Linked DNA regions of Saccharomyces cerevisiae S288C. Changing the gene in region 1 together with any one later gene gives a genetic interaction. Each region holds a gene or a part of one and is shown in the gene's direction. Other genes may lie near its edges. The genes, in order: SNT1, SGF11, SET2 and UBP8.

Region 1 (10,129 bases):
GGTTCATAAACATTGTCACCAATATCTTGTTTAAGAACAACAATTTTTCTCCAATAAGCGTTAGACAGATCAAAAACCAAGTTTACGAATGGAAAAATGCAAGATCAGAATACGTCACCCAAAACAATAAAAAGTGCCTTATTTTATTTAGAAAAGACAACACATCCTTAGATTTTAAAATCAAAAAGTCCATATCAAGATACACTTACAACCTCAAAACGGATAGAGAAGAAAATGCAGTTTTCTATCGAAATAATTTAAATCTTTTGATTTTTCATCTGAAACATACACTGGAGATACAATCAAATCCAAATTCGTCCTGCAAGTGGTCATCGGACTTTGCAGAAGATTTTGATGGGATGAAACGGAGGCTTTTGCCTGCTTGGGAACCAAAATATGAACCACTCATTAACGAGGAAGATGCTAATCAAGATACTATAACAGGTGGTAACAGACAAAGGAGAGAAAGTGGAAGCATTTTATCCTACGAATTTATCGAACATATGGAGACTCTTGAGTCGGAGCCAGTTGGAGATTTGAATGAGAATAGAAAAATTCTTAGACTTTTGAAGGATAACGATTCCATTGCAACTATTTGGAATTGCAGTTTGATTATTGGATTAGAAATTAAGGAGGGGATTTTAATTCATGGCAGTAATTACCTTTACTTTGTAAGTGATTACTATTTTAGTTTAGAGGATAAAAAGATTCTAAAATTATCAGAAGTATCGCAAGAATCACGGGATATGACGGTTAGCTTAATTAACGGCCCTGATGTTAAAAGGGTATCAACTTTCCTAAAGCACGAAGTCTTTGTTTGGAAACTTCTCGATATCACTTTCGTTACCAAACGACCCTTTCTACTTCGGGATGTCGCCATCGAATTATTGTTCAAAGAGAGAGTTAGCGCTTTTTTTAGTTTTTACAACAAAAGAGTGAGAGATGACGTTTTACGGGTACTGAATAAGATCCCGAAGCACCTTCCAGCAGATCCAATTTTTTCAAGCGTTTTACAAGAAATAAACGACCGAGGAAATAGTATAGTGGCAAGAAATGGAATAGGAAAGGCAAGCATTGCTTCTAAATTCACTAGCGTCTTCTCAGCGAACAACAGCCTAATAGATGGATTTGAGATCAGCAAAAAATGGGTTAGGGGAGAGATTTCTAATTTTTATTACCTGTTGAGTATCAACATCCTAGCGGGAAGGTCATTCAACGATTTGACCCAATATCCAGTGTTTCCGTGGGTTATTGCAGATTACGAAAGTAACGTACTCGATTTAGAGAATCCTAAAACTTACCGGGACCTATCGAAACCTATGGGCGCTCAAAGTGAGAAAAGGAAATTACAGTTTATAGAGCGTTATGAAGCTTTGGCTTCCCTGGAAAATGCTGATTCCGCACCATTTCATTATGGCACGCATTATTCCTCAGCTATGATAGTATCTTCATATCTGATAAGGCTGAAGCCCTTTGTCGAATCCTTTTTGTTATTGCAAGGCGGAAGTTTTGGCCCTGCAGATCGTTTATTTAGTTCGCTTGAAAGGGCCTGGAGCTCTGCTTCTTCTGAAAATACAACGGATGTCAGGGAATTGACACCTGAATTTTTTTTTCTACCTGAATTTTTGATCAACGTTAATAGTTATGACTTTGGTACAGACCAAAGCGGTAAAAAAGTTGACGACGTCGTACTTCCACCCTGGGCAAATGGTGACCCAAAGGTTTTCATTCAAAAGAATAGAGAAGCTTTAGAAAGTCCTTATGTATCAGCACATTTACATGAATGGATTGATTTGATATTTGGTTACAAACAAAAGGGGGACATTGCTGTGAAATCTGTTAACGTATTCAACAGATTGAGTTACCCAGGCGCTGTAAATCTAGATAACATTGACGATGAAAATGAGCGCAGAGCTATCACAGGCATTATTCACAACTTTGGTCAAACGCCTTTACAAATATTTCAGGAACCTCATCCGGAAAAAATAGCCTGCAATGTTCAACAGCTAACAACAGAGGTATGGCGTAAGGTTCCAATGAAGCCAATATTTGAGAAGACAATCTTTAATTTGAATGAAAAGAACAGGTCCGTCGATTATGTTATACACGATCCTAGTTACTTCGATTCATTATACTGGAGGGGCTTCGCTTTCCCAAACTTGTTTTTCAGAACGGAAGAATCGTTAGTGTCATTGAGAATTGTGCATAAAAATTGGTTAAAAATTGGACTAGATATTTTTAAAAAGACGCATATGGCTCAGATTACATCGTTTGCGTACTGGAAGTTGGGCGAATTCATAACTGGCGATAAAAATGGGCTGATAAAAGTTTGGAAATATCGTAAAGATAAGCATTCGGTTTCAGGTAACCTTGAGAACAAAAAAACAATGTTTGGGCACCTATGCGAGCTAAAGGAGATGCGCTGTTATCACGACTACAATACGCTTTTAACCTTAGACATCAGCGGCTTAGTATATGTCTGGGACATGATTAATTTCGAACTAGTAAGGCAAATAACAAATGATGCGCAAAAGGTCGCAATATCTCAACATGCAGGGAGCATTATGGTATTGACTAAGAATAACGCCATTTCGATCTTCAATCTAAATGGACAAATATATACATCAAAGAAATTCGAACCAGCTAAAATTGTAAGCTCAATTGATTTTTTTGACTTCACTAAGTTAGACGCAGGTTACAGAAAGCATATCTATTGGAAAGAGATGGAAATACTACTAGTGGGCTTTGAAGATGGAACTATAGAAATTTACGAGCTCTTTTTGAATTTTCATAATGAATGGGCGATAAAGCTACTGAAGCAGCTCTGTACCGAAAAAGGGAAAGCCATAACTAGCATTAAGGGACAGGGGAAGACATACCTGTCCCAGAAAAGACGCAAGGATACAGCAGAGCCTCATGAGATAGAAGTGATTGCGGGAACATTAGATGGCAGATTAGCTATTTGGTACTAGGCATCACATCGTAACGCCTTTCTTTAAATGATTCAATTTTTGTAGTTTATATCTTTACTTTTGAAACTGATTTCTCATCCCATCTAGTATTGTAATTGCGTACGTATCCAATATCATTACCAACGCCGGGTATTTTTTTCTAGTATTTCTTCTCCATTTCGCCTATGGAAAACGGCAAAAGGGTAAAAGAAAAAAACAAACGATTAATTCTTCTTTGAATTATGTAAAAATCAAAACGCAACCGCAGATTTAATAGAGACCAGAAATTCGGATTACTATTGACTTTGTGCACCACCTTCAAATTTACTCATTGTTTAAGACAGGCAGTGGGAAAGAAGCCGTCATATTGCTCGAATCCTTAACAAGCAAAATATACAACCACTAAATTATTCCGAAAGGGCCTGCTTAATAATTTGCCTACTAACTTGTGCATAGAACAGCAAACAGAAACAAAGCGTAAGAAACATGGGGTATCCGCCACCTACACGAAGGCTTGGAGATAAGAAAAGGTACCATTATTCCAATAATCCTAACCGAAGGCATCCTTCCGCTGTTTATTCCAAGAATAGCTTTCCAAAATCAAGCAATAATGGATTTGTATCTTCTCCTACTGCCGATAATTCAACAAATCCGTCTGTAACTCCCAGTACTGCATCTGTACCTCTTCCTACAGCGGCACCTGGAAGCACGTTTGGTATCGAAGCACCCAGGCCATCTCGATATGATCCGAGCTCAGTCAGTAGGCCTTCGTCATCATCTTATTCGTCAACAAGAAAAATTGGAAGCCGTTATAACCCAGATGTGGAAAGATCCTCTTCAACCACTAGTTCAACTCCGGAAAGTATGAATACGAGCACCATAACACACACCAATACGGATATCGGAAACTCACGCTATTCTCGAAAAACCATGAGCAGATATAATCCTCAATCTACTAGTTCTACAAACGTTACCCACTTTCCCTCGGCATTATCAAACGCTCCACCGTTTTATGTTGCCAACGGGAGTTCTCGGAGACCTCGATCAATGGATGATTATAGTCCTGATGTAACGAACAAGCTCGAAACAAATAATGTTTCATCTGTTAATAATAACAGCCCTCATTCTTATTACTCTAGGAGCAACAAATGGAGATCCATTGGAACGCCTTCCAGACCACCATTTGATAATCATGTCGGCAATATGACGACCACCAGCAATACTAACTCGATCCATCAAAGGGAACCTTTTTGGAAAGCAAATAGTACTACTATTTTAAAATCAACTCATTCACAGTCATCGCCTTCCCTTCATACTAAAAAATTTCACGATGCGAATAAATTGGACAAACCAGAGGCTTCAGTTAAAGTTGAAACACCCAGTAAAGATGAGACAAAAGCCATATCGTACCATGATAACAATTTTCCACCAAGAAAATCAGTTTCTAAACCTAATGCACCTTTAGAACCCGATAATATCAAGGTTGGCGAAGAAGATGCATTGGGGAAAAAAGAAGTACATAAAAGTGGGCGTGAGATAGCAAAGGAACATCCTACTCCTGTAAAAATGAAAGAGCATGATGAACTAGAAGCTCGCGCTAAAAAAGTAAGTAAAATCAATATTGATGGAAAGCAGGACGAAATTTGGACGACGGCAAAAACAGTGGCCAGTGCAGTCGAAGTTTCCAAAGAAAGTCAAAAGGAACTAACACGCTCTGTTGAAAGGAAGGAAAGCCCAGAAATTAGAGATTATGAAAGAGCATACGATCCGAAAGCCCTGAAAACAGACGTAACAAAGTTGACAGTAGACAATGATAATAAAAGTTACGAAGAACCTCTTGAAAAAGTGGAGGGGTGTATTTTCCCATTACCAAAAGCAGAAACGAGATTATGGGAATTGAAAAACCAGAAAAGAAACAAAATAATAAGTGAACAAAAGTACTTACTGAAAAAGGCAATTAGGAATTTCTCAGAGTATCCTTTTTACGCACAGAACAAACTTATACATCAGCAGGCTACCGGACTTATCTTGACGAAAATTATATCAAAGATAAAAAAGGAAGAACATTTGAAAAAAATAAATTTAAAACATGATTATTTCGATCTCCAGAAGAAGTATGAAAAAGAATGCGAAATTTTGACTAAACTGAGTGAAAATTTAAGGAAGGAAGAAATCGAAAATAAACGTAAAGAGCACGAACTAATGGAGCAGAAAAGACGTGAAGAAGGTATCGAAACAGAAAAGGAAAAAAGCTTACGGCATCCATCCTCGTCTTCCTCATCTCGTCGCAGAAATAGGGCTGACTTCGTTGATGATGCGGAAATGGAAAATGTATTGCTACAAATCGACCCAAATTATAAACATTATCAGGCTGCTGCAACAATTCCTCCGCTAATTTTAGATCCAATCCGCAAACACTCTTACAAATTCTGTGATGTAAATAACTTGGTTACAGACAAAAAGCTTTGGGCGTCTAGAATATTGAAAGACGCCTCTGACAACTTTACTGACCATGAGCACTCTTTATTTTTGGAGGGTTATTTAATTCATCCTAAAAAATTTGGTAAAATTTCTCACTACATGGGCGGCTTAAGAAGTCCTGAAGAGTGTGTCCTACATTATTATAGAACAAAGAAAACTGTGAATTATAAACAACTTCTTATCGATAAGAACAAGAAAAGAAAAATGTCAGCCGCTGCCAAGCGCCGCAAGAGGAAGGAAAGAAGTAATGACGAGGAAGTCGAAGTTGATGAGAGTAAAGAAGAGTCAACGAACACGATAGAGAAGGAAGAAAAAAGTGAGAACAATGCCGAGGAAAATGTTCAGCCGGTTCTAGTTCAAGGTTCTGAAGTGAAAGGTGATCCATTAGGTACACCGGAAAAAGTTGAAAATATGATTGAACAGAGAGGCGAAGAGTTTGCAGGTGAATTGGAAAATGCTGAGAGGGTAAACGACTTAAAAAGGGCGCATGATGAAGTTGGAGAAGAGAGCAATAAGTCCAGTGTAATAGAAACCAACAATGGGGTACAAATAATGGATCCAAAAGGAGCTGTTCAGAATGGTTATTATCCAGAGGAGACCAAAGAACTTGACTTCAGTTTAGAGAATGCGTTACAGAGAAAGAAACACAAATCTGCACCAGAGCATAAAACAAGTTATTGGAGTGTTCGTGAATCTCAACTCTTTCCAGAATTGTTGAAGGAGTTTGGCTCTCAATGGTCTCTCATATCAGAAAAACTGGGTACCAAATCTACTACAATGGTAAGGAATTACTACCAAAGAAATGCAGCTCGCAATGGATGGAAATTACTGGTTGATGAAACCGACTTAAAGCGAGATGGGACTAGTTCAGAATCTGTACAACAATCTCAAATTTTGATACAACCAGAACGACCAAACATCAATGCCTATAGTAATATTCCTCCTCAACAAAGACCGGCTTTGGGTTATTTTGTTGGACAACCAACTCATGGGCATAATACATCTATTTCATCTATCGATGGCTCTATAAGACCATTTGGGCCTGATTTTCATCGTGATACCTTTTCTAAAATTAGTGCTCCTTTAACCACTTTACCACCACCAAGACTACCATCTATTCAGTTTCCTCGTTCAGAAATGGCAGAACCTACAGTGACAGATTTGCGTAACAGGCCCTTAGACCATATTGACACGTTGGCTGATGCAGCTTCGTCAGTAACAAATAATCAAAACTTCAGTAATGAAAGGAATGCAATTGACATTGGCCGTAAATCGACGACAATCAGCAATCTATTGAATAATTCGGATCGAAGCATGAAATCTTCTTTCCAAAGCGCTTCAAGACACGAAGCACAGCTCGAAGACACTCCCAGCATGAACAATATTGTAGTACAAGAAATAAAACCGAATATTACTACGCCAAGATCGAGTTCTATTTCTGCATTACTAAATCCTGTAAATGGGAATGGGCAATCAAACCCAGATGGAAGGCCGTTGCTGCCATTTCAGCATGCTATTTCTCAAGGCACTCCTACTTTCCCTTTACCGGCCCCTCGCACTAGTCCAATAAGTCGTGCGCCTCCAAAGTTCAATTTTTCGAATGATCCGTTGGCAGCTTTGGCTGCGGTTGCCTCCGCGCCAGATGCAATGAGCAGTTTTTTATCTAAAAAGGAAAATAATAATTGAACAAACGGCTGAGACGGGCAATACATATGCTCTACTTCTTTTCCATCCAATGGTTGGTGAAACTCTCGAGCATACATTACCTTACGTGTGTTAGTGTACTATATTATATATATATATATGTATATATATAAAGGGAGGAGTTTTTAATTATAATTGTAATTTCGTATTTTTTCTGCATTATACAGTTTTTTCCGATTTTAAACGACTTTATTTAAGTGTCGTGTAAATATGTCACATTTTATTTTTGTACGTATTCACATGTCCTGGCGTGCGGCCATTGCTGAAAATCGCAAAACCCACAGAGAAATAAACATCGCGAAAAAGTCAATGAAAAATTGGAAAATATTTTTCATTTCACTATTATCCACAAGCAATTTTGTACAAAGTGAAAAGGTTGAACTAATTATCTTCGTCTAGAAGCCATGAATTCACTCGTTACTCAATATGCTGCTCCGTTGTTCGAGCGTTATCCCCAACTTCATGACTATTTACCAACTTTGGAGCGACCATTTTTTAATATTTCGTTGTGGGAACATTTCGATGATGTCGTCACTCGTGTAACTAACGGTAGATTTGTTCCAAGCGAATTCCAATTCATTGCAGGTGAATTACCATTAAGCACTTTGCCCCCTGTGCTATACGCCATCACTGCCTATTACGTTATTATTTTTGGTGGCAGGTTTTTGTTAAGTAAGTCGAAACCATTTAAATTAAATGGCCTTTTCCAATTGCATAATTTGGTTTTAACTTCACTTTCATTGACGCTTTTATTGCTTATGGTTGAACAATTAGTGCCAATTATTGTTCAGCACGGGTTATACTTCGCTATCTGTAATATTGGTGCTTGGACTCAACCGCTCGTTACATTATATTACATGAATTACATTGTCAAGTTTATTGAATTTATAGACACCTTTTTCTTGGTGCTAAAACATAAAAAATTGACATTTTTGCATACTTATCACCATGGCGCTACTGCCTTATTATGTTACACCCAATTGATGGGCACCACATCTATTTCTTGGGTCCCTATTTCATTGAACCTTGGTGTTCACGTGGTTATGTATTGGTACTATTTCTTGGCTGCCAGAGGCATCAGGGTCTGGTGGAAGGAATGGGTTACCAGATTTCAAATTATCCAATTTGTTTTGGATATCGGTTTCATATATTTTGCTGTCTACCAAAAAGCAGTTCACTTGTATTTCCCAATTTTGCCACATTGTGGTGACTGTGTGGGTTCAACAACTGCCACCTTTGCAGGTTGTGCCATTATTTCTTCATATTTGGTACTATTTATTTCATTTTACATTAACGTTTATAAACGTAAAGGCACCAAAACCAGTAGAGTGGTAAAGCGTGCCCACGGCGGTGTTGCCGCAAAGGTTAATGAGTATGTTAACGTTGACTTGAAAAACGTTCCTACTCCATCTCCATCACCAAAACCTCAACACAGAAGAAAAAGGTAAGTGTAAAATCTTTGAAAGAATTTAAGTATTCAACTTTCGTATATTCGTTTTTTCTTAGTGGATCTATTGTTACTATTATCACTATTATTATATTGTAAAAGACCGGATGGTTTTGTTATATATTACATACACATGTTATCGTTGAAAAAAGTTTTCCGTTTCCTTTCGACAGTCATCAGATAATTTTATCCGAGTCTTTTATATGTTAAATCTTGTTGACAAATCGTCCGCTCTAACCCTAGATAACAACAATGATCTTTTTATCATTTCTGGCGTTATTTTAGCGCCTCCTCCCACTAATGTTAATTGCTTATAGTTACCTGAAGGAGCAGCGAGGATGGAGATCGTACTGTGTATACTTGTTTCTTCCGCTTCAGTATCTAGGTCTGCTATTAGCACAGTGTTCAATTTATCCATATCAATGTCCACTTCCTCTTCTTCAGAGTTATCAGAGTTTTGTAATTGGCATTCGGGGTCTAACTCCACTATCCCATAATTTGAAGCAAATGCAATATTCTTTGCGTTTATCATTAACGGTACTGACTTAGTTTGGTCGCAAATAATTTCATACGTTTCTCTTATGGTGGCACTTCTTCCTCTTGTTCTTATAGTCATTCTTAAATCGGACGCACGCTCATCTATAAATGCTCTAGGTAACTTTACGCTCTGTAAAGCGTACATCAAAGAATTCCAACACAAATCGAAGACTGGACCAGTGCGACTCAAGACTACAATTTTCGCATACAAAACGTATGACCATTTTCTTTTCATTTTCAGGTTTGTTTCATTCAGCGTATCATCTTCTAATTCATCGGGATACAAGACGGAAAACGTACCGTCTTCATTCGCACTACGAACACCAGCTTTTACCTTCAAGGCTTTTTTAGGCAATATCCTAGAGTGCAATATGGAATCGTGTAGTTTTTGTGATATAGTCATTTCTTCATCGGTGCAAGCGCCCACTCTACCTCTTTCAACTTCCACCACCGGATAGACAGAAGCATAATTTGCAATTATGTCCTCCTCTTTGGTCACTTCGAACAATTCTTCCTCACCGAAATCATCCAAATCTTTAATCGCGGCGCTAGTTTCTTCTATTATTCCACCCGTAATAGAAGTTATGACTATGGTTTTCCCACTTTTCAAAACATTTGAGCCTAAAATGTTGTTTTTAGTGTCTATATTACCAGCATCCGCATAACGCGATAAAGTATTATTTTCTATAGCAACATCTCTAAATTCTTCATATTTTCTTAGACATGGCCTGATTCCTAGGGATAAGTGTCTTTGTAAAGACAATTCTGGAGATATTCTCGCAAGAACTTCAGGTGGAAAAGTAATTGGGTGTATCTCAATAGTTTCTAACGTGGTACTTTCAGCCATTTCCAATATTAGATGCCTGTGAAACTACTGTCAAACTTATTTGTGTAACAATACTCATCGTCTAATTTGTCCATTATTGTTATATACTCTGTCATAAAAAAAGAAAGAAAAATCTTATACTTTCGTCGACTGTGATTTGAAAATCTCTCCAGATCAAACGGG
Region 2 (6,703 bases), on another chromosome or scaffold:
TTCTTGGAGACATTGAAAAAGGAATACTCTCTGGCGTTCAAAGCCTTGGAAAAGATACAGCCTACGGTAGGACAAAATGTGGCGACAATACCCGTTGACAGTAAACAGATCTTGAAGTTTTGGGATGTAGGTGGTCAAGAATCACTGAGATCAATGTGGTCCGAATACTATTCCCTATGTCATGGTATAATTTTCATTGTGGATAGTTCAGATAGAGAACGATTAGACGAATGTTCCACGACCCTACAGTCAGTTGTAATGGATGAAGAAATTGAAGGTGTACCCATCTTGATGCTGGCCAATAAACAAGATAGACAAGATAGAATGGAAGTACAAGATATAAAAGAAGTATTTAATAAGATTGCGGAACATATAAGCGCTAGAGATAGTAGGGTTTTACCAATAAGCGCATTGACTGGAGAAGGTGTTAAAGACGCTATAGAATGGATGATTGTTAGACTAGAAAGGAATAAAAAGTCAAGACCACCGATTTATAAATGATAAAGAAGCACCAAAAGAAATAAAATGTGAATGGTTTATTCTCAAGCTCAGAAATTAGTTGTTGTAGCACTTTTTATTCGGCATTTTTTAATATACATGTGTAAATTATATATATATATATATGAATATATATCTTGTTTTGTTTATTTTCAACTAATAATCGCAACAATATTATCTTTCAATAACGCTATAGCTTCTGTATGCTTTTTGCTCAGTTGCTCAATGGTTCTCTTCCTCTATGTGATAAACCAAATAGTTTGGTAAGCCAAATACATCGTAGTTTAATCTCTTCGCCATCTTAGCAAAACCTTCTGTTTCAATCAAGTGATAAAATGGGAAATTAGGGAACATGGCACCGTCTCTGTGAACTTCTGCTTTGACCAAAGTACAGCCTCCACCAACACCATCCAGCGCCATCTCTTCACCTGGTACGCCATTAGCATCGTAGAAATGAGCCATTAATGGCCTATAAGTGGCAATTTCTGCATAACCCTCGACAATAATCTCGTCATCACCCATCTGAGAGGCTATTTCTAAACCGGTGTCACTTTCTTGCCAGTTGTTGAAATCGTATGGTCTGATTGATGGTTGCTTCTTCTCTTCATCGTAAAATCTTTGATAAATGTTTGCAGCTAAGATAGCTTTGTTGTGTTTGGTCATGTCTTGAATTAAAGATGGTGGTGTCTCTATAATATCGGCATCTAGCCACAGCACCCAAGAAGTGTGAGGTCCTATGGTGGAGAATAGTAATTCATTGCGCGCCAAAGCCATTGCTGCACGTCTTTCCTTTTGAACATCTAAAGCGTGTCTTTCCTTCTCCATCAACTTATCAAAACTCTGGGAATTCTGTCGCAAAATAGTAATTTTACTAAATCTTTGAGTTTTCTTGTCCGTTTGAACCTTTTTAATAGCATTCTCCAATTTCTTTAAGGCCAAGTCACCAGTGGCTGTTCTTGGTGTAATGAACCCCAATTCAATCAATTCCCGAGGGTAATTTAGCTGCAGCAAATTGTCCCAGTATTGTTGATGAAATGTTTGCATTGGAGTCAATATCAAAATATGCTCCTTATTGACAGCTGCTTCTGACGTAGAGTGCAATTTGTTCAAATCATAATGTGCAATATGACCTTCTGGGATAATATCTTCCACGTGATCGTTGAACAACCAGCCGCTTTTTTTCTTATAAGAGTACTTTGGCATTTTGTATTTCTTGGTGAAGGGAAAATAAAATGTGTTTTCCTTTTCGTGTGCCCATTTGTGTTGGGAAATGGACTGGCCATTAAGTCCCAACAGAGATTGATCTCTCTGGAAAAAAATTATATATATTAGAAATATGGCCAAAACAGGTAGAAAAATGTTAACCCACGGGTTCTTTCTTAGGCGGTACGATACAAGAGAAAGTGACATTGTTTCCTAACTTTTTATTCTAGCTCTTTTAAATTCTTCTGTTTGAAAAATACTAAAATTGATGCTATTCTCTTCTTACTTTCACAAAGTGCGGAAGGAAAAATAGGTTCAGAAATAACGGGTCCCAAGAGCGGCTAACAGAAAATAATAAAAGCTTTTCTACCAATTGAGAATCCGCTTGGTTGACGACTTTTCCTCCTTTATTATTCTTGATTTGGTGTTCTGTTTTACTTATATCAAAATACTTCAACGCCAAATCCGCTACAACGATGGAAAGGAAAAAAAAAAAAAAAAAAAAAAGACAAACCAATGCTGTCGTGTCTAGTGACGATAAAGGCTGTAACTATTAATAAGGTGAATACTCACCCTCATCTTTTAGTTTATCAAACTTATATAAAAATTGTGTATGTACTGAATTGTCCTTGGTGTGCGAGTGAGAGTGTGTGTGTGAGTGCGTGTGTGAGTAGGTGAGTGTATGCGAGTGTATGTAAGTTTATAAGTGCCTGTGTGGCTACTATTTTCCGGTTCTGTGATGTGATGATGATTTTTTTGTCAGCTCCTTTGATTCATTCCATACTTTATTACATATGCTCATAAACATTTTCTTGTCTACATTGCTAGAGCTCAGGGGGAACTCGAAGGCAAAAATATGCGATGAGAGTCGGATTTCGCCTTGAAGAAGACTAGGTGATTGCTGCTGCGGCTGCGAGGTCCGCTGGAACGTAGTAAAAGTGGGAGTGGGGACCGCTCCGTCCTCGATGGCCAAGTCCGTACCCTCTTCTTCGTCTTTATTGGGTTCTGCCTCATGCCATGAACTCCTGTCCCGGTTTGTGCTTGTGCTTGTACTTGTGCTTGTGCTTGCGCTTCTGGCTTTCGTGTTGGCCGAGAGTAATGCATCCCGTTCAAAGTGGTATTCTTCAGCAGGTATCATATCTGCTGGGCGTAGATCCGCGCGCTGTTGCGTAGGACCGGCATTCGCACTTGATCCTACGCTAGAATTTCTTGAGCCTTCCTCGGATCGTCTGGTTTTCCCAGTGGAAGCGGTGCCACTCAAAGGCGAATCATATGAGTCGTTAACCCTCTTGTTTCTGTAATTGCTAGCACTATACTCATTTTCTTCGTAGGGCCTAGCGTTGCCACCTTGCATAGCATAAGGAATGGAGGTCCGCGGTCCCATTGGATATGGATACGACACGTAGGGTGTCATTATGGGCTTGTTCAGCATGTGAGGTGGAGGGATACCGTACGGATTATAATATGGTGACATTATGTAGCGATTCATGGGCATGTAAGGGTTCATGGCGCTCATGATGCCCGCCGAGGGCATGTGTGGTTTCCCATAACTATTGCTGCTATTATTCACTTGTATAGATTGTCTAGAACTGGCCTTTCCCAAGTATTGGACACGGGGCTGGAACTTGGAATGCTGAGTAACTTGTGCGGGCGCGCTTTTCACGTTTTGATTAGCAACAGGAGGAAAATGTGCAGAGTTAGACGAAGCCAAGTTGCCGTCCTTAATATTACCACCGTGTGTATTAGTGTTGCTATCCGATAAATTCAAAGGCGCCGGGACTCTGCCCCTCTTCAATGATTTCTTCGGATTCTTCAATGGTTGGGCTTTCCTCTTCTTCGCAGTGGCTGTCTCAGAATCCTCATGATCTGCTTCCTTGTCACCAGAGTCATCCTCCTCAGGGACATGCTCTAGCTCCGACTCCTGACCAACGCTGTTTCCGCCTGGCGAATTCTTAATGTTGCTATCGCTGCTGCCCTTAGCATTTGCTACACTGATTTCTGTATCACCAATTGGATCTTGTGTTGATTTAGCAATGGATGTATCCTCGGCAGTCGTTCTCAAACGGGCTGATACGGCCATTCTCACTTTCTATTTTCTTCTTTGAGAAACAATACCAAAATTTGTTACTGATTTGATTCTTTTTAAGTGCGTTTCTTCTGTATAAGCTAAAAAAACGCAAAGCACAAAGCGGAAAAACTAAACCTAATAAACTTCCCCCAGCGAGAAACAGATGTAAAGAACAACCGTATCAAGTGGCGAAGCAGCTGCTTATAAGTAAAGCCCAAGGCCCACCAACGCATACATGCAAGGCCTGTGCAAGCCGACTGCTGCTTGTTTCATCTTCCGCTCGCGGTGACCCACTCGGGGAATTTCTCACGCTTGCTGCTGCAGGTCGTTGGGCGTTGATTCCTGTTTTTTTCTTTCGTTTTTTCAATCCGCGGGAGTGAGACATGATTAGTGTAGTCCTTGTAGAGTTCCTTATTTATTTTTTTATTAGTTTTCTTGTTTTCGTTTATCAGCAGGGTTTGGTTGTGTTGCTTGGCAGCCCGCAAATTGGTCTTCCCTCCTTGTTATTGTATTTTCTGTTATTAGAGCATACAGAACATAGAAACTCAAGATCAGATACAGTTTTTGCACGCCATGTCTCAAGGTACTTTATATGCTAACTTCAGAATTAGAACTTGGGTCCCAAGAGGTCTTGTCAAGGCTTTGAAGCTGGACGTTAAGGTTGTTACGCCAGATGCCGCCGCTGAACAGTTCGCAAGGGACTTTCCCTTGAAGAAGGTTCCGGCTTTCGTGGGTCCAAAGGGTTACAAGCTAACCGAGGCAATGGCGATTAACTATTATTTAGTAAAGCTTTCACAGGACGACAAGATGAAGACTCAACTTTTAGGTGCCGACGATGACTTAAATGCCCAAGCGCAAATCATCAGATGGCAATCTTTGGCCAACAGTGATCTGTGCATCCAGATTGCCAACACCATCGTTCCCTTGAAGGGCGGCGCCCCCTACAACAAGAAGAGCGTTGATTCTGCGATGGACGCTGTTGACAAGATCGTCGACATCTTCGAGAACAGATTGAAAAACTACACCTATTTGGCTACGGAAAACATCTCCTTGGCCGACTTGGTGGCTGCCTCGATTTTCACCAGATACTTTGAAAGCCTGTTCGGTACTGAATGGAGAGCTCAACATCCAGCCATCGTGAGATGGTTCAACACCGTTAGAGCCTCACCCTTCTTGAAGGATGAATACAAGGATTTCAAGTTCGCTGACAAGCCATTGAGTCCCCCTCAAAAGAAGAAGGAAAAGAAGGCCCCAGCCGCCGCTCCCGCCGCTTCGAAGAAGAAGGAGGAAGCCAAGCCAGCTGCTACCGAAACTGAAACTTCTTCCAAGAAACCAAAGCACCCATTAGAATTATTGGGCAAGTCAACTTTCGTTTTGGATGACTGGAAGAGAAAGTACTCCAATGAAGACACCAGACCAGTTGCTTTACCTTGGTTTTGGGAGCACTACAACCCAGAAGAGTATTCCCTGTGGAAAGTCACCTACAAGTACAACGATGAATTGACTTTGACTTTCATGTCCAACAACTTGGTCGGTGGTTTCTTCAACAGATTGTCCGCCTCTACCAAGTACATGTTCGGTTGTCTGGTAGTCTACGGTGAAAACAACAACAACGGTATTGTTGGTGCAGTTATGGTTAGGGGCCAAGATTACGTTCCAGCTTTCGATGTCGCACCAGATTGGGAATCTTACGACTATGCAAAGTTGGATCCAACTAACGACGACGACAAAGAATTCATCAATAACATGTGGGCCTGGGATAAGCCAGTTTCCGTCAATGGCGAACCAAAGGAAATTGTTGACGGTAAGGTCTTAAAATAATCTCTTCGTACTATCCTTCATGTCGCCTTTTATTATAAAGTATGCTAGGTAGTTTTATCTATATCTTATTTATGACGCAATATAGGGTAACAGAGTTTTTCTGCTCTGAAACTTCCGCAGAAAAAAAATCAAGTTTTCCTTTTCGTATCTTGGATTATTGTTATATAATAGATGCATGTATTATATGTATAGCAGTGATTTGCTTATTTTCTTGATTCTGAGGAATCGAAGAAGTAACTTAGCGTTTCTTCCGTTGAGCAGAGCAGTATAATAATCCTTCAAATTCTTTAGGTTACGGGGTTTTCCTGTTGCGATGACCGAAGAAACTATTACTATAGATTCTATTTCAAATGGGATACTGAATAACCTGTTAACCACATTGATCCAGGACATTGTAGCTCGGGAAACCACTCAACAACAATTGCTGAAGACAAGATATCCGGATCTTCGCAGTTATTATTTCGACCCGAACGGATCTCTCGATATTAATGGACTACAGAAGCAACAAGAGTCCTCTCAGTATATTCACTGTGAGAATTGTGGCAGGGATGTGTCCGCAAACAGACTAGCAGCTCATTTACAGAGATGTTTGAGTAGGGGTGCTAGACGTTGACACTAGGTGGTGGTTTATGGGTAATTGAAAAGGCACAGACAGATTTTAGCCCATTTCTTGTGGGCATAGGTTCATAAAAAAAGCAAGATTCTTACATTTTATGCGGCATATCTGCACATAGAAGTTCATGTAGTTATGTGGTAACATCTCAAAGAGAGAAGGCGAAAACTGTTTTAGCTATTAACTACATGTTTTTATAATAGCACCTCCCATATATGATGCCAAATGATACCTTGCATTCCGTTATGTGGAAGGGTTACACATAAGTACGCTATAACAATGCATTCAATTTTCTACATATCAGAGTAATATGCTGCAACATCACACCCATATAATATAATTTTTTGAAAGAGTTCCTAACTCTTTTTTGTTTTTCCTGTACCTATATACTCAAATAGTCCGCCGCAAGTAGCAGCTCTAACGACATTTCTGTCGGTATTTCAAACTCTGGAATCTCATCATCGTCCTCGCTAACGCCGCTGTACTTCAAATTATAATTT
Region 3 (8,937 bases), on another chromosome or scaffold:
TTTCCTTCTCGTACTACCCGTAATTTCCGATCACGCATTTCTTCATTTTCATTGGCTTAAAAAAAATCCTTGGACTAGTCACGTGGAACGGTAGATCGAGAGATACTATCTTAAAGCTTATACTATATTATATTGGAAGTATATAGTTCTTATACATGGTCCTTATCTAGTTTGAAATCTAATGTTTTATCGATTAGCGTTAGTTCTATTTGCTTCTCTTGTAAACTTTGTTCAAGAACGCAGTTAAGACATCAGCTTTGAAGCCACGAGACTCATCGACCTGAGAAATTTTGGCCTTCAAATCCTTGGCAATAGACTCTTCATATTCGTGGTATAGCTGTTCAATTTTCAAGTCATTGAAAATCTTTTTGCATTTGGCTTCTGCGACTGAGTCCTTCTTACCGTAATTTTCGTCTAAAGTCTTTCTTTGTTCTGCGGAAGCAAGTTCCAATGCCTTGTTGATTACCCAAGAACATTTGTTATCTTGGATATCTGTACCGATCTTACCGATCTGTTCTGGGGTACCGAAGCAGTCTAAGTAGTCATCTTGAATTTGGAAGTATTCACCCAATGGAATCAAGACATCTCTGGCTTGTTTCAAATCCTTTTCATCCGTGATACCGGCAACGTACATGGCCAATGCGACAGGCAAGTAGAAAGAATAGTAAGCAGTCTTGAAAGTAACTATGAAGGAGTGCTTCTTTAGGGAGAACTTACTCAAGTCGACTTTGTCTTCAGGTGCAGTGATTAAGTCCATCAATTGGCCCAATTCGGTTTGGAAGGTGACCTCATGGAACAATTCGGTGATATCTATGTAGTATTTTTCGTTTCTGAAGTGAGATTTCAAAAGCTTGTAGATAGCAGCCTCTAACATGAATGCGTCATTGATGGCAATTTCCCCAACTTCAGGAACCTTGTACCAACATGGTTGGCCTCTTCTGGTAATGGACTTGTCCATCATATCATCGGCGACCAAGAAGTAAGCCTGCAACAACTCAATGCACCAACCTAGAATGGCAACCTTTTCGTATTCTTCTTGCCCCAATTGTTCAACGGTCTTGTTGGAGAGAATAGCATACGTGTCCACAACGGACAAACCTCTATTTAGCTTACCGCCTGGAGTGTTGTAGTTCAATGAGTGGGCATACCAGTCACATGCTTCCTTAGGCATACCGTAAGCCAAAAGCGATGCGTTCAATTCCTCTACTAATTTAGGGAAAACGTTCAAGAATCTCTCTCTCCTAATTTCTTTTTCTGAAGCCATTTCTACGTAATATTTTTGAGTTTATTGTGCCTATGTCAGTCCAATACCTGTTGGTTGAGTTTTTAAAGTTAAAATGAAAACTGATAGAAGAACAATCTATCATAAAGTATTAGTTTCGACATGCGTTTATATATATTTCCTGCCGTTGCTTCCTCTATTTATCGGTCTTTTTCAACAAGGCGTTTCGTTTAGAACCGACGAGAAGAAGCTGACTTCGACTATTGAAAAAAGAATGCTCAATGATATTGCTTGTCACTTCATCAGTATTTAAAATATGTGTAGAGGACGGTGAATATACCGCTTAGAATACCTCACACTGTATATCGCAGTAATAAGGACAGTATCCGTACTTTTACAGATTTGTCACGTGATCAATATCACCTTTAACGTTTTTTTTTTTTTATTCACTGCAAACATGTGAAAAATTCCAAGAAACTATTAGAATTATTGGTAATTTGGTGGTTATTTATCAGAACGTAAGGTCACGTTGGCAGCTTTTCAAAGGGGCTTTCGAACGTGTGATAGAAAACTGCATAGTCGTGCTGTCAAACCTTTCTCCTTTCCTGGTTGTTGTTTTACGTGATCATGTCGAAGAACCAAAGTGTGAGTGCGTCGGAAGATGAAAAAGAAATACTGAATAACAACGCTGAGGGCCATAAACCTCAAAGGCTTTTTGATCAAGAGCCTGATCTCACAGAGGAAGCATTGACCAAATTTGAAAACTTGGATGACTGTATATATGCGAACAAGAGGATCGGAACATTTAAGAATAATGATTTCATGGAATGTGACTGTTATGAAGAATTCTCAGATGGCGTCAACCATGCCTGTGACGAGGATTCTGACTGTATCAATAGACTTACGTTGATAGAATGTGTCAACGATTTGTGTTCATCTTGTGGTAATGATTGTCAAAATCAGAGATTTCAAAAGAAGCAGTACGCTCCGATAGCCATATTTAAAACAAAGCATAAAGGTTATGGCGTAAGAGCCGAACAGGACATAGAAGCCAACCAGTTCATTTACGAGTACAAAGGTGAGGTGATCGAGGAGATGGAATTTAGAGATAGGTTAATAGACTATGACCAACGTCATTTCAAGCATTTTTATTTTATGATGTTACAGAACGGAGAATTCATTGACGCCACAATAAAGGGTTCGTTGGCCAGATTTTGCAATCACTCTTGCAGCCCCAATGCATATGTTAATAAATGGGTTGTTAAGGATAAGCTACGCATGGGAATATTTGCTCAAAGAAAAATTTTAAAAGGTGAGGAAATCACTTTTGATTATAATGTGGATCGTTATGGTGCTCAAGCTCAGAAATGCTACTGTGAGGAGCCAAATTGTATTGGGTTTCTCGGTGGTAAGACTCAAACAGATGCGGCATCTTTATTGCCCCAGAACATCGCTGATGCCTTGGGAGTGACTGTTTCCATGGAGAAAAAATGGCTAAAGTTAAAGAAATTAAGCGGTGAGCCAATAATAAAGAATGAAAACGAGAACATAAATATTGAATTTCTTCAATCATTGGAAGTCCAACCTATCGACAGCCCAGTGGATGTGACGAAGATCATGAGTGTATTACTACAGCAAGATAATAAGATAATTGCATCCAAACTCTTGAAGAGACTTTTTACTATCGATGATGACTCTCTTCGTCATCAGGCTATCAAACTACACGGTTACACCTGTTTTAGCAAAATGCTTAAATTGTTTATCACGGAACAACCTCAGGTAGATGGAAAAGGAAACGAGACTGAAGAAGATGATATAAAGTTTATAAAGGGAATTTTAGATTTTTTGTTGGAATTACCAAAGACAACTCGAAACGGTATTGAGTCGTCACAAATTGATAATGTAGTAAAAACTCTCCCTGCAAAGTTTCCATTTTTAAAGCCAAACTGCGATGAGTTATTGGAGAAATGGTCGAAATTTGAAACATATAAAAGGATAACGAAGAAAGACATAAACGTCGCAGCCAGCAAAATGATAGATTTGAGAAGGGTGAGATTACCTCCAGGCTGGGAGATCATTCACGAAAACGGTCGCCCATTGTATTATAATGCAGAACAGAAAACGAAACTACACTATCCACCTTCGGGATCATCTAAGGTCTTTAGTTCAAGGTCAAATACACAAGTAAATTCTCCGAGTAGCAGTGGAATACCAAAAACGCCTGGCGCTTTAGACTCTAAGAAACATAAGCTGAGTGACGAAGAATATGAGAGGAAGAAACAAAAAAGACTGGAATACGAAAGAATTGCGCTAGAAAGAGCCAAACAAGAAGAATTGGAAAGCCTGAAGCAAAAGCTAAAGCTTGAGAATGAAAGAAAAAGCGTTTTGGAGGATATTATAGCGGAGGCCAACAAACAGAAGGAGTTACAAAAGGAAGAGGCCAAAAAACTAGTGGAAGCAAAAGAGGCTAAGCGGTTGAAAAGAAAAACGGTCTCCCAGTCCCAAAGACTAGAGCACAACTGGAATAAATTCTTTGCATCTTTTGTACCCAACTTAATAAAAAAAAACCCACAAAGTAAACAATTTGATCATGAAAACATTAAACAATGTGCTAAAGACATCGTGAAAATCCTAACTACAAAGGAACTTAAAAAAGATTCTTCAAGAGCGCCGCCTGATGACTTAACCAAAGGAAAAAGGCATAAAGTTAAAGAATTCATAAATTCATACATGGATAAGATTATCCTCAAGAAGAAGCAAAAAAAGGCGTTGGCATTATCATCAGCATCAACAAGGATGTCTTCTCCTCCACCTTCAACATCATCATAATTAACCAGACATGCATATTTGGGGCTTGTTTCACGTTTTCTGTCCCAAAGGAAGTCTTGTACTTTAATTGTAATTGCGATTTGTAATAAGTAATTTTTTTTGTCTTTACCGTTTATTTCTTTATACATTTTTGGTGCATATATTTAAATATCCGCATTAGTGGGCTATCAGTAGCACTGTAATGATAGGTAATGTGACACATCTTCTCGACAGATATTATTCTTGAAAAAATCGTGCGTTTCAAGTGTCTTTATTTTTTTGCTGTCAATAGAAGTGTTGAAATGACTTTGAAACGTAATTACCGCATCGGGAAATTTACATGTTAACTGCAATGAAAACAAGGAATATACGGGGAACATATAAAGGGTCAGCGTCGTTGACTAGTCTGTCATTTATATTGTGCTTGTACATAGGACTACAAAAATTCAAAGAATGACGACAAGAAACATGACTACTTTAGCATCAAGTATTGAGCATAAAACAAAACATCTAGCCGCGCCCTTCGAGAACGATGAGAACCCTTGGATGAAAAAATACTGTTGCCAATGCAAATCATGTAAAATGAGTGTGCCTGTCCAACCTTGGCTGCCAAGGTTTTTTGTTTTTGGAATCTTGTGCCCCGTTTTCTGGTTGGTGAATCTTTTAGCCTGGTGGTTCTTACAGTATTGGCAACCACATGAATTGGAATTCCACGACTTGCAAGAAGACGAATACCCAGGATTTTATGAATATGAAGCCATAACTAAAAGAACGGTGATACCCATAAAGGAAGAAGTCCTCCAAGAGATTCGCGTCATGCAGAATTTCAGTGATAGCAACAGCGAAGAATATTACGAGAGCAAAGACGGTATGCCGTCGTCTTTCCTAAACGTGAACACGGAACAAGTCGAGGACGAGAATGACACCTTGAAAAAATATCGTTACGCGTTTTTGAAGAAGGTAGCCCACGATGTGCTGGAGTCGCACGATTTATTACGTAAGACCTTCCGCGACTGGAATTTACGGTCTTTGCTTGGCCTCCTCATCGATTCTATACTCATAATATTTGTAGTTCTCCTATGTAAGAAAAGCCGTTAGGTAGATCTAAAGACAGAAAATGATATCAGCCTCTTTCTTTTCCACAGCCTCCATTTCCCATTTTTGCTGTATCTGCAAGGGTTCCTTTTTCCATTTTTTTTTTTCAAAGTCTTGGCTCCGCCCTTTTCTTTTGTCTATTTTGCCGAGCTTAGGTTATTTATAAACCTGAAAATCCTCGAGAAACAATCCTTATCGAAGGAAGCAGCCATAATAGAACATACTCAAGTGCAAACATTACAAGCTTAAATAAGACAAATGTTACAGAGTATAGTCCTTTCCGTGTGCATGTTTATGTTGCACACAGTCGCTGCCAGTGGACCTCAGTCGTACCAAAAGTTGGATTTCACTAATGTTGGTTTTACAGGCTCCTACGTAGATGTGAATAAGTTTAAAGATATCACCAACAATGAATCGTGTACTTGCGAAGTGGGTGACAGAGTATGGTTTAGTGGTAAGAACGCTCCACTAGCAGACTATTTATCCGTTCATTTCCGTGGACCATTGAAGTTGAAACAATTTGCTTTTTACACATCCCCTGGATTTACCGTCAACAACAGCAGAAGTTCTTCTGATTGGAACCGTCTTGCCTACTATGAGTCCAGTTCCAAAACCGCTGATAACGTTACCTTTCTAAATCATGGAGGTGAAGCTTCCCCTTGTTTAGGAAATGCTTTGTCCTACGCTAGTTCTAACGGTACTGGCAGCGCCAGTGAAGCTACCGTTTTGGCAGATGGCACTTTGATTTCTTCAGATCAAGAATACATAATCTATTCGAATGTCTCATGTCCAAAATCAGGTTATGATAAGGGTTGTGGGGTTTACCGTAGTGGCATTCCAGCTTACTATGGGTACGGAGGTACAACAAAGATGTTTTTGTTTGAATTCGAAATGCCTACTGAAACTGAGAAAAATAGCAGCTCTATTGGGTACTATGACTTGCCTGCTATTTGGTTGCTAAACGATCACATTGCAAGGACTTCTCAATATCCAACCAATGCCAACTGTTCATGTTGGGCTAGTGGATGTGGGGAATACGATATTTTTGAAGCTATGAATGGTACGGAGAAAAACCATCTCTATTCTACTTTCCACACTTTCCAAGGTATCGAGGATTTGGGTACTGGTATCCAATCTTACGGATACATAACAAGAAATACTACTGGAACGATGAAAGGTGGTGTTGTTTTCGATTCTAGTGGAAATGTCGTTTCTTTCATATCTGATGCCACTCCATTCAATGGAACTGTTTCTGCTGATACTGTTAACGATTTATTGGCTGCAATTCCAGAAAACGAAACCTATTCTTCTCAATTGATGAGCATTTCTGCTACTGCGCCTTCGACCACCTCGAAGTCGAATGGTGTTGCTTTAACGAAGATGCAAAACGGTGTATGGTATTATATTTTGGCCATATTCACTGCCTTTACGCAAGTGGTTTTGATTTGATTTAAGTCATTGTATGGTCATATTATCATCATCATTTAAATTTTGATTTGACACTTGATTTGACACTTCTTTTTTTTTTTATTTATGTTTTGTTTAACTGACGGTGTTTTTTTTTTTACGTTATACTGATACATATATAGACGTGATTTATTTAAATAAAAAGTTCTATGAAAAAAAAAAAAAATTAAAAAAAAAAAATTAAAAAAAAAAAATCTTTGACTATTCAATCATTGCGCTTAAGCGTATTCGTTAACATTAACGATATACTCGTAAACAAAGGCAATGGCAGATAAATGACCTGGGACATCCACGTGTTCATTAACCGAATGCAATGTCTTCAGTAAATCAATATCAATGATAGAGCCAACAAACCTATAAATGTTCTTGGACAAATTCCAGTAGTATTTAGTATCGGTGTTACCAGAGAATAAACCAGTAGTCACATAGAACTCTTCGTTGTTTTGTAGAACACCGTTTTCAAAAACATCTTGAATAGTACCTGCCAAAATGTCCCAAACAGGGCCTGAACTTGGCGAAAGTGGTGCTGGTTCCAATTCTCTCAAGAGAGTAATGTCAATGTGACCTAACTCGGTTTCAGGGATAATGTAATCGTCACCGTTCTTAGATAAACCATAGCCATACTTCTCAGCAATCTTTTTCGCATATTCTATGTTTCTTTCAAAGACTTCAGCCACAGAAGAATGTAAATTAATTCTGTGATTGATCAAGAATCTGGTAGTTTCGGGCAGAGCATTAGCTTTAACACCACCATTGATGATATCAACAGCTTGTGTTGTTCTTATTAAGCTGCGCAAATGTGATTGGTTGGAAATGTACTCAACAAGCTTGTCCTTCCTTCTAGGACAGAATGGTGCGCCCAAAATTGTCTTCTTCACATCCTTACTTAAAGATTTAGAATGTTCAGCAGCACATGTCAACAATCCATAGATTGGATTGTCAAACTCAAATTCGTAGTCAAATGGGTTGGCTTCAAATTCAGTAATCAGTTCTGAAGCGATACCGATTGTGGTATGATCAGGTGGGACAGAGGAATGACCACCATGGCCTAGAATACTGACTTCGAAGTCGACATAGCCTTTTTCAGCGTTGATTGGAGTGGCAACAAAGACATCCTTGTCGACTTCCATGATACCTTCACCCTCGTCAATGATACTGTAAATACCATCATCACCATATCTTTCGTGAAGAAATGAGGCTAAGCTGGCAGCACCGAGGGTGCCGCTTGCTTCTTCATCAAAACCAAGCGACATAACAATAGTTCTGTTGGGCTTGAATCCATCTATCAACAGTTGTTCGATAGCTTCAAACTCGGCAATTAACAAGTTCTTACAATCGTTAGAACCACGCCCCCAAACAAAATCTGTTTCTGGATCATAGTGACCAGAAAATGGAGGGAACTTCCAGGATGATAAAGTTTCGTTGTTTACAGGTACAACATCTTGATGGGCCATTAACAATAATGGTTTTAGATCAGGATCAGAACCTTCCCATGTGTATAGAAGACCCAGCTCATTGACTTTCTCCAATTTCAAATGCTTGTGAATATTAGGGAAAGTCTTCTCAAAATAGTCGTGTAGTTCATAAAAATGCTTATAGAAATCCGGATCATCTGCGGGGTTGGGGTTTTTGTCTTGGACTACAGTGGGGATTCTAACAGCATTGGACAGTTTCTCAATGGAGCTGTTTCTAAAGGCAGGGTCATGAAGAATTGTGTCGACGGAATGTTTGAATGATGGACTTAATGGTTCAATCTTCTCACATTTGGGTGAGTGCATGGGACCTTTTCCATGGTGTGGACGCTTTGCCTCATGAGGTGGTGCTGGGTGGAGACCCGAAGTGAGGAAGAAGGTGCCGATGATAATAAGGGCAACTATTCCACTAATAAAGGCTCTGTGCCTTTGCCATAGGGACTTTCTAGGGGCCTTCTCTACTGGTAAGGCGATCATAATGTAATTGTTAGATGAATGATTCCTTAATGTGATGATGCAGGATTAGTTTTACAATGGGAAGAGACGTATTTGGGGTACCCGTTTCTTTTATATGTCATAAACTTTCTTGCCCGACCTTGGAAGGCTGTATCGTATTTTGCCCAAAGGGGAAAATAAAAGGCCGCTATGATAAGATAAGGGTGGCGAGGCTGAGATAACAAGAAGATGTTCTGAGCATTGAGCATTTAGGATAACAGTGCACAAGATCACGCGGTTCAATTCGTCACGTAAAGCTACTAGAAGTGGGTGTTTCTAGTAGCCTGCAAAAAGCGTCGTTCTAAAGAAACTTTTTTCAATGACACATTTACTGAAAATAGAAAAAGACTATCTATTCGTAGCTGATTTTCAAAATCC
Region 4 (3,823 bases), on another chromosome or scaffold:
GTTTTGTAGGAAGAATGAGGCATTATCGTGAGTTGACAGGCAAGAATAAACACTGGAACAATCAAATATAGGGTGAAAAATCTGGAAACGTTCAAGGTAGGAAACCAGTTTTGATATAACAACCTATATAACAGAAACAGCGCAGATGACGAATCAAATGATCCTGTTAGTAGGGCCAATACGGTTCCTGATCTTTGTGGGAAGCTATTTGCCAATTGAAAACATGAAATGAAGACGAACGGACCGGCAACTGCCAAAAGCGTGTAACCGACAAGATATGGGTCCCAAAGAGACACTAGATGCTTGGCAGAAATAAAATTACCGCTTGCTAGGAACAAGAGACATGATCCTATTATTCCGCAGACACGAGGTCCATACATATCCAAAATCTTACCGACAGGAAGGGCCATGATGTTTGTTACAGTAGCACTGAGAGCAAATATAAAATTTAATTTCAGATCCTGTGCAGTACATAATAATCTATCACCATCCTTAGGATCACACAATTCATGGTATACACCTTCTGAAATTAAAATAGGTTTCAAAGCAGCAAATCCAAAGATAATACCAGCTGAAAAAAGACACCAGATACAAGCACAGGCAACCTGTGCGTATCTCAACGTTCTTGTACTGGTCATTACAGTCTTTACTGCCCTAATACTGGCCTAACGAGGAATAAAATCATTTATAGATGCCATTGTTATCGTTATCATAATGAAGCATCGTATCGGTAGTTAAGTTAATTTGACGTATTATTACCCGGAGGATTTAATCATGTATAAATATGTATGTGAAGATTATGTGAAGATTACGTGCTATATATACTTGCCTCAGGTCAACTGCTGGAGCCATTGAGCCACTTTTCTCACAAACCCTCTTGAGTTCGGCACAAAGTGGCCCCCAGAGTGCATTAGTAAAGTGCGAGAGTCTTCCGTACAAGAGTTATATAGGCCTTGCACTTTGGCCGGCTCTGTGATAGTGTCAAGTTCTCCTTGAACATGTAGAGATGGGACCGATATTGGATGCAGGTCGTACTGTTCTTGATACTGTTGTGGTTGGAACCTGAAACCACTGACCGCCATGAAAAATTCTAGCGGCGGCTGTTCTTCTGTTGTAAGGCCCAACAAACCATTGAAATCCGTTGCTAGGTATCCAGCTACACCGGCTCCTTGACTAAATCCTACAATACCTGCAAATGGACCATTTTCAAGGACATAATTGTGTAAATAGTCGATTGTCGTCTGCGGTATGAAATAGCCACCGGTGGAAGGGTCATTCTCTAGCCACGCAAGCACACCGGTATTCTCACCATCCCCAGGTGCATCAGCAATTACCTCACCCAAGAAATCAGGAACATCAGCTGGGGGAAATTCATTGGGTGCTGTTGGATAGTAGAGTTTATATCCTAACTTTTCCATTTCGGCGCGAAACCCCTTTGTCTTAGAGGCAAAGTAGTCACCTGACTGCGCAAGCCCATGTAACATCAATACATTCTTCGTCATGGTTACAGCTATTAAATCTTATAGTCTTGTAGTATTGCACATTCTTTCTTCACTTATACCTTTTTTTTCTTCTCTATTCTTCCTTTTTTTGCTTTTCTTTGAATTTTTCAAGTGAAAAAAAATCCTCGATTATAGTGTGTAAAAAGCATCAATAATTTATATTGTATATGGGCTAGAAAGCTGTCGTAATAGCAAAGGGATTATATTAGTGGACCTGATTAATTCTAAAAAGATATTTTACGGATAATAATAAAGGTTTTCTTTTGAGACCAGTTAGTCCATTTCTTTCAACTGGCTGTCATAATTTTGAATACTATTTATTGATCGGATCAAAAGGGAAAACTACAGCTTCGGTCCTCGTCGTCCTACTTGAAACCCTGCTTTTTTTATTTGTTATTAATAATTATGAGCATTTGTCCACATATACAGCAAGTATTTCAGAATGAAAAGTCTAAAGATGGGGTTCTAAAAACGTGCAATGCTGCCAGGTATATATTAAATCATTCCGTACCCAAGGAAAAATTCTTAAACACCATGAAATGTGGTACATGCCACGAAATAAACTCTGGTGCAACTTTCATGTGTCTACAATGTGGATTTTGTGGATGTTGGAACCATTCGCATTTTCTCTCTCACAGTAAACAGATTGGTCACATATTTGGTATCAACTCAAATAATGGCCTTTTATTTTGCTTCAAATGTGAGGACTATATAGGGAATATCGATCTGATTAACGATGCTATCCTAGCGAAGTATTGGGACGACGTGTGCACAAAGACCATGGTTCCTAGCATGGAAAGAAGAGATGGGCTTTCTGGCCTGATCAACATGGGATCCACTTGTTTCATGAGTAGTATTCTCCAATGTCTAATCCATAACCCTTACTTTATTAGGCACTCAATGAGTCAAATTCATTCTAATAATTGTAAAGTGCGTTCTCCAGATAAATGTTTTTCATGTGCACTCGATAAAATTGTTCATGAACTTTATGGAGCGCTGAATACAAAGCAAGCTTCTTCGTCATCTACATCTACTAATCGGCAAACCGGATTCATATATCTTTTAACTTGTGCCTGGAAAATCAATCAAAATCTAGCAGGGTATTCACAACAAGATGCTCATGAATTTTGGCAGTTTATAATTAACCAAATCCACCAAAGCTATGTTCTTGATTTGCCAAATGCCAAGGAAGTCAGCAGAGCAAATAATAAGCAGTGTGAATGCATAGTGCATACTGTGTTTGAGGGCTCCTTGGAAAGTTCTATTGTGTGTCCAGGCTGTCAAAATAATTCAAAGACAACCATTGATCCATTCTTGGATCTTTCTCTGGATATCAAGGATAAGAAAAAACTTTATGAATGTCTTGACAGTTTCCATAAAAAAGAACAGTTGAAGGATTTCAACTATCATTGTGGGGAGTGTAACAGCACTCAAGATGCAATAAAGCAACTAGGCATACACAAATTACCATCGGTTTTGGTTTTGCAATTGAAAAGATTCGAACACCTACTTAATGGAAGTAACAGAAAACTAGACGATTTTATTGAATTTCCAACTTATTTAAATATGAAAAATTACTGTTCAACGAAGGAAAAAGATAAGCATTCTGAAAATGGCAAGGTTCCAGACATTATTTACGAATTAATCGGTATTGTTTCCCACAAGGGGACGGTTAATGAGGGACATTATATTGCATTTTGTAAAATTTCTGGAGGGCAATGGTTTAAATTCAATGATTCCATGGTCTCCTCTATATCTCAAGAAGAGGTTTTAAAGGAACAGGCATATTTATTATTCTACACCATTCGTCAAGTAAATTGATTCAGCAAATAGCATTCAACAATAATAATAAAACAAAAAAGAAGAAAAAGCTATGCATATTCCTATCACAGTTAACGCTTGCTTCCGTTCTTTTTTCTATATCATCGTTTCCATCATGTTTTTCTTTAAATTGAATACTTTCCTATGCTCTTAATGAGTTGCGATTGTGCATATACTGTATTTCAAAATCCTTTGTATCTAACTAAGGAAGAAAATTACTATGACGTTTATTCAGGATTTTTTTTTTTCATTCCTTGCTATACGAACAAAAGAGCAAAGGCTGGAAAACTAAGTGAGTTTATATATAGTAATAATTAAAGAACATATCATTATCATGAATTTAGAATGCAAATTTGCTCCTCTCAAAATGGCATACCTTGTTGTTCGCGAAGGCAAGCCCTTGGTTATAAATAGGATATAATATAATATAGGGATCAAGTACAACTATTTTCTTTTCTTAGCAAGGAGACTTCCAAGAATATCCGTCTTTGGCGTCCTTG

The links.
Region 2: mutations in SNT1 (region 1) and SGF11 together harm fitness less than expected from each alone (positive genetic interaction), as found in Saccharomyces cerevisiae (4 studies listed by BioGRID).
Region 3: mutations in SNT1 (region 1) and SET2 impair growth when combined (synthetic growth defect), as found in Saccharomyces cerevisiae (6 studies listed by BioGRID, with this or other methods).
Region 4: mutations in SNT1 (region 1) and UBP8 together harm fitness less than expected from each alone (positive genetic interaction), as found in Saccharomyces cerevisiae (6 studies listed by BioGRID, with this or other methods).

Annotation. Positions count from the first base shown.
Region 1 is NC_001135.5:183,052-193,180, forward strand, and holds SNT1 (Snt1p), read left to right. Parts: upstream 1-3,437; coding exon 3,438-7,118; downstream 7,119-10,129. Other genes in the region: BPH1 (Bph1p), read left to right, coding at 1-2,972; fatty acid elongase ELO2, read left to right, coding at 7,541-8,584; exosome non-catalytic core subunit RRP43, read right to left, coding at 8,783-9,967. UniProt on the Saccharomyces cerevisiae protein: Part of the Set3C complex, which is required to repress early/middle sporulation genes during meiosis.
Region 2 is NC_001148.4:460,059-466,761, forward strand, and holds SGF11 (SAGA histone acetyltransferase complex subunit SGF11), read left to right. Parts: upstream 1-5,903; coding exon 5,904-6,203; downstream 6,204-6,703. Other genes in the region: Arf family GTPase ARL3, read left to right, coding at 1-501; mannosyltransferase complex subunit MNN9, read right to left, coding at 721-1,908; DIG1 (Dig1p), read right to left, coding at 2,423-3,781; CAM1 (translation elongation factor EF1B gamma), read left to right, coding at 4,343-5,590; ELC1 (elongin C), read right to left, coding at 6,586-6,703. UniProt on the Saccharomyces cerevisiae protein: Component of the transcription coactivator SAGA complex. SAGA acts as a general cofactor required for essentially all RNA polymerase II transcription. At the promoters, SAGA is required for transcription pre-initiation complex (PIC) recruitment.
Region 3 is NC_001142.9:97,341-106,277, reverse strand, and holds SET2 (histone methyltransferase SET2), read left to right. Parts: upstream 1-1,849; coding exon 1,850-4,051; downstream 4,052-8,937. Other genes in the region: ERG20 (bifunctional (2E,6E)-farnesyl diphosphate synthase/dimethylallyltranstransferase), read right to left, coding at 206-1,264; ASG7 (Asg7p), read left to right, coding at 4,499-5,128; TOH1 (Toh1p), read left to right, coding at 5,384-6,574; CPS1 (Gly-Xaa carboxypeptidase), read right to left, coding at 6,811-8,541. UniProt on the Saccharomyces cerevisiae protein: Histone methyltransferase that trimethylates histone H3 'Lys-36' forming H3K36me3. Involved in transcription elongation as well as in transcription repression.
Region 4 is NC_001145.3:714,808-718,630, forward strand, and holds UBP8 (ubiquitin-specific protease UBP8), read left to right. Parts: upstream 1-1,907; coding exon 1,908-3,323; downstream 3,324-3,823. Other genes in the region: FMP42 (Fmp42p), read right to left, coding at 1-638; FSH2 (putative serine hydrolase), read right to left, coding at 831-1,502; MRE11 (MRX complex nuclease subunit), read right to left, coding at 3,768-3,823. UniProt on the Saccharomyces cerevisiae protein: Histone deubiquitinating enzyme component of the transcription coactivator SAGA complex. SAGA acts as a general cofactor required for essentially all RNA polymerase II transcription.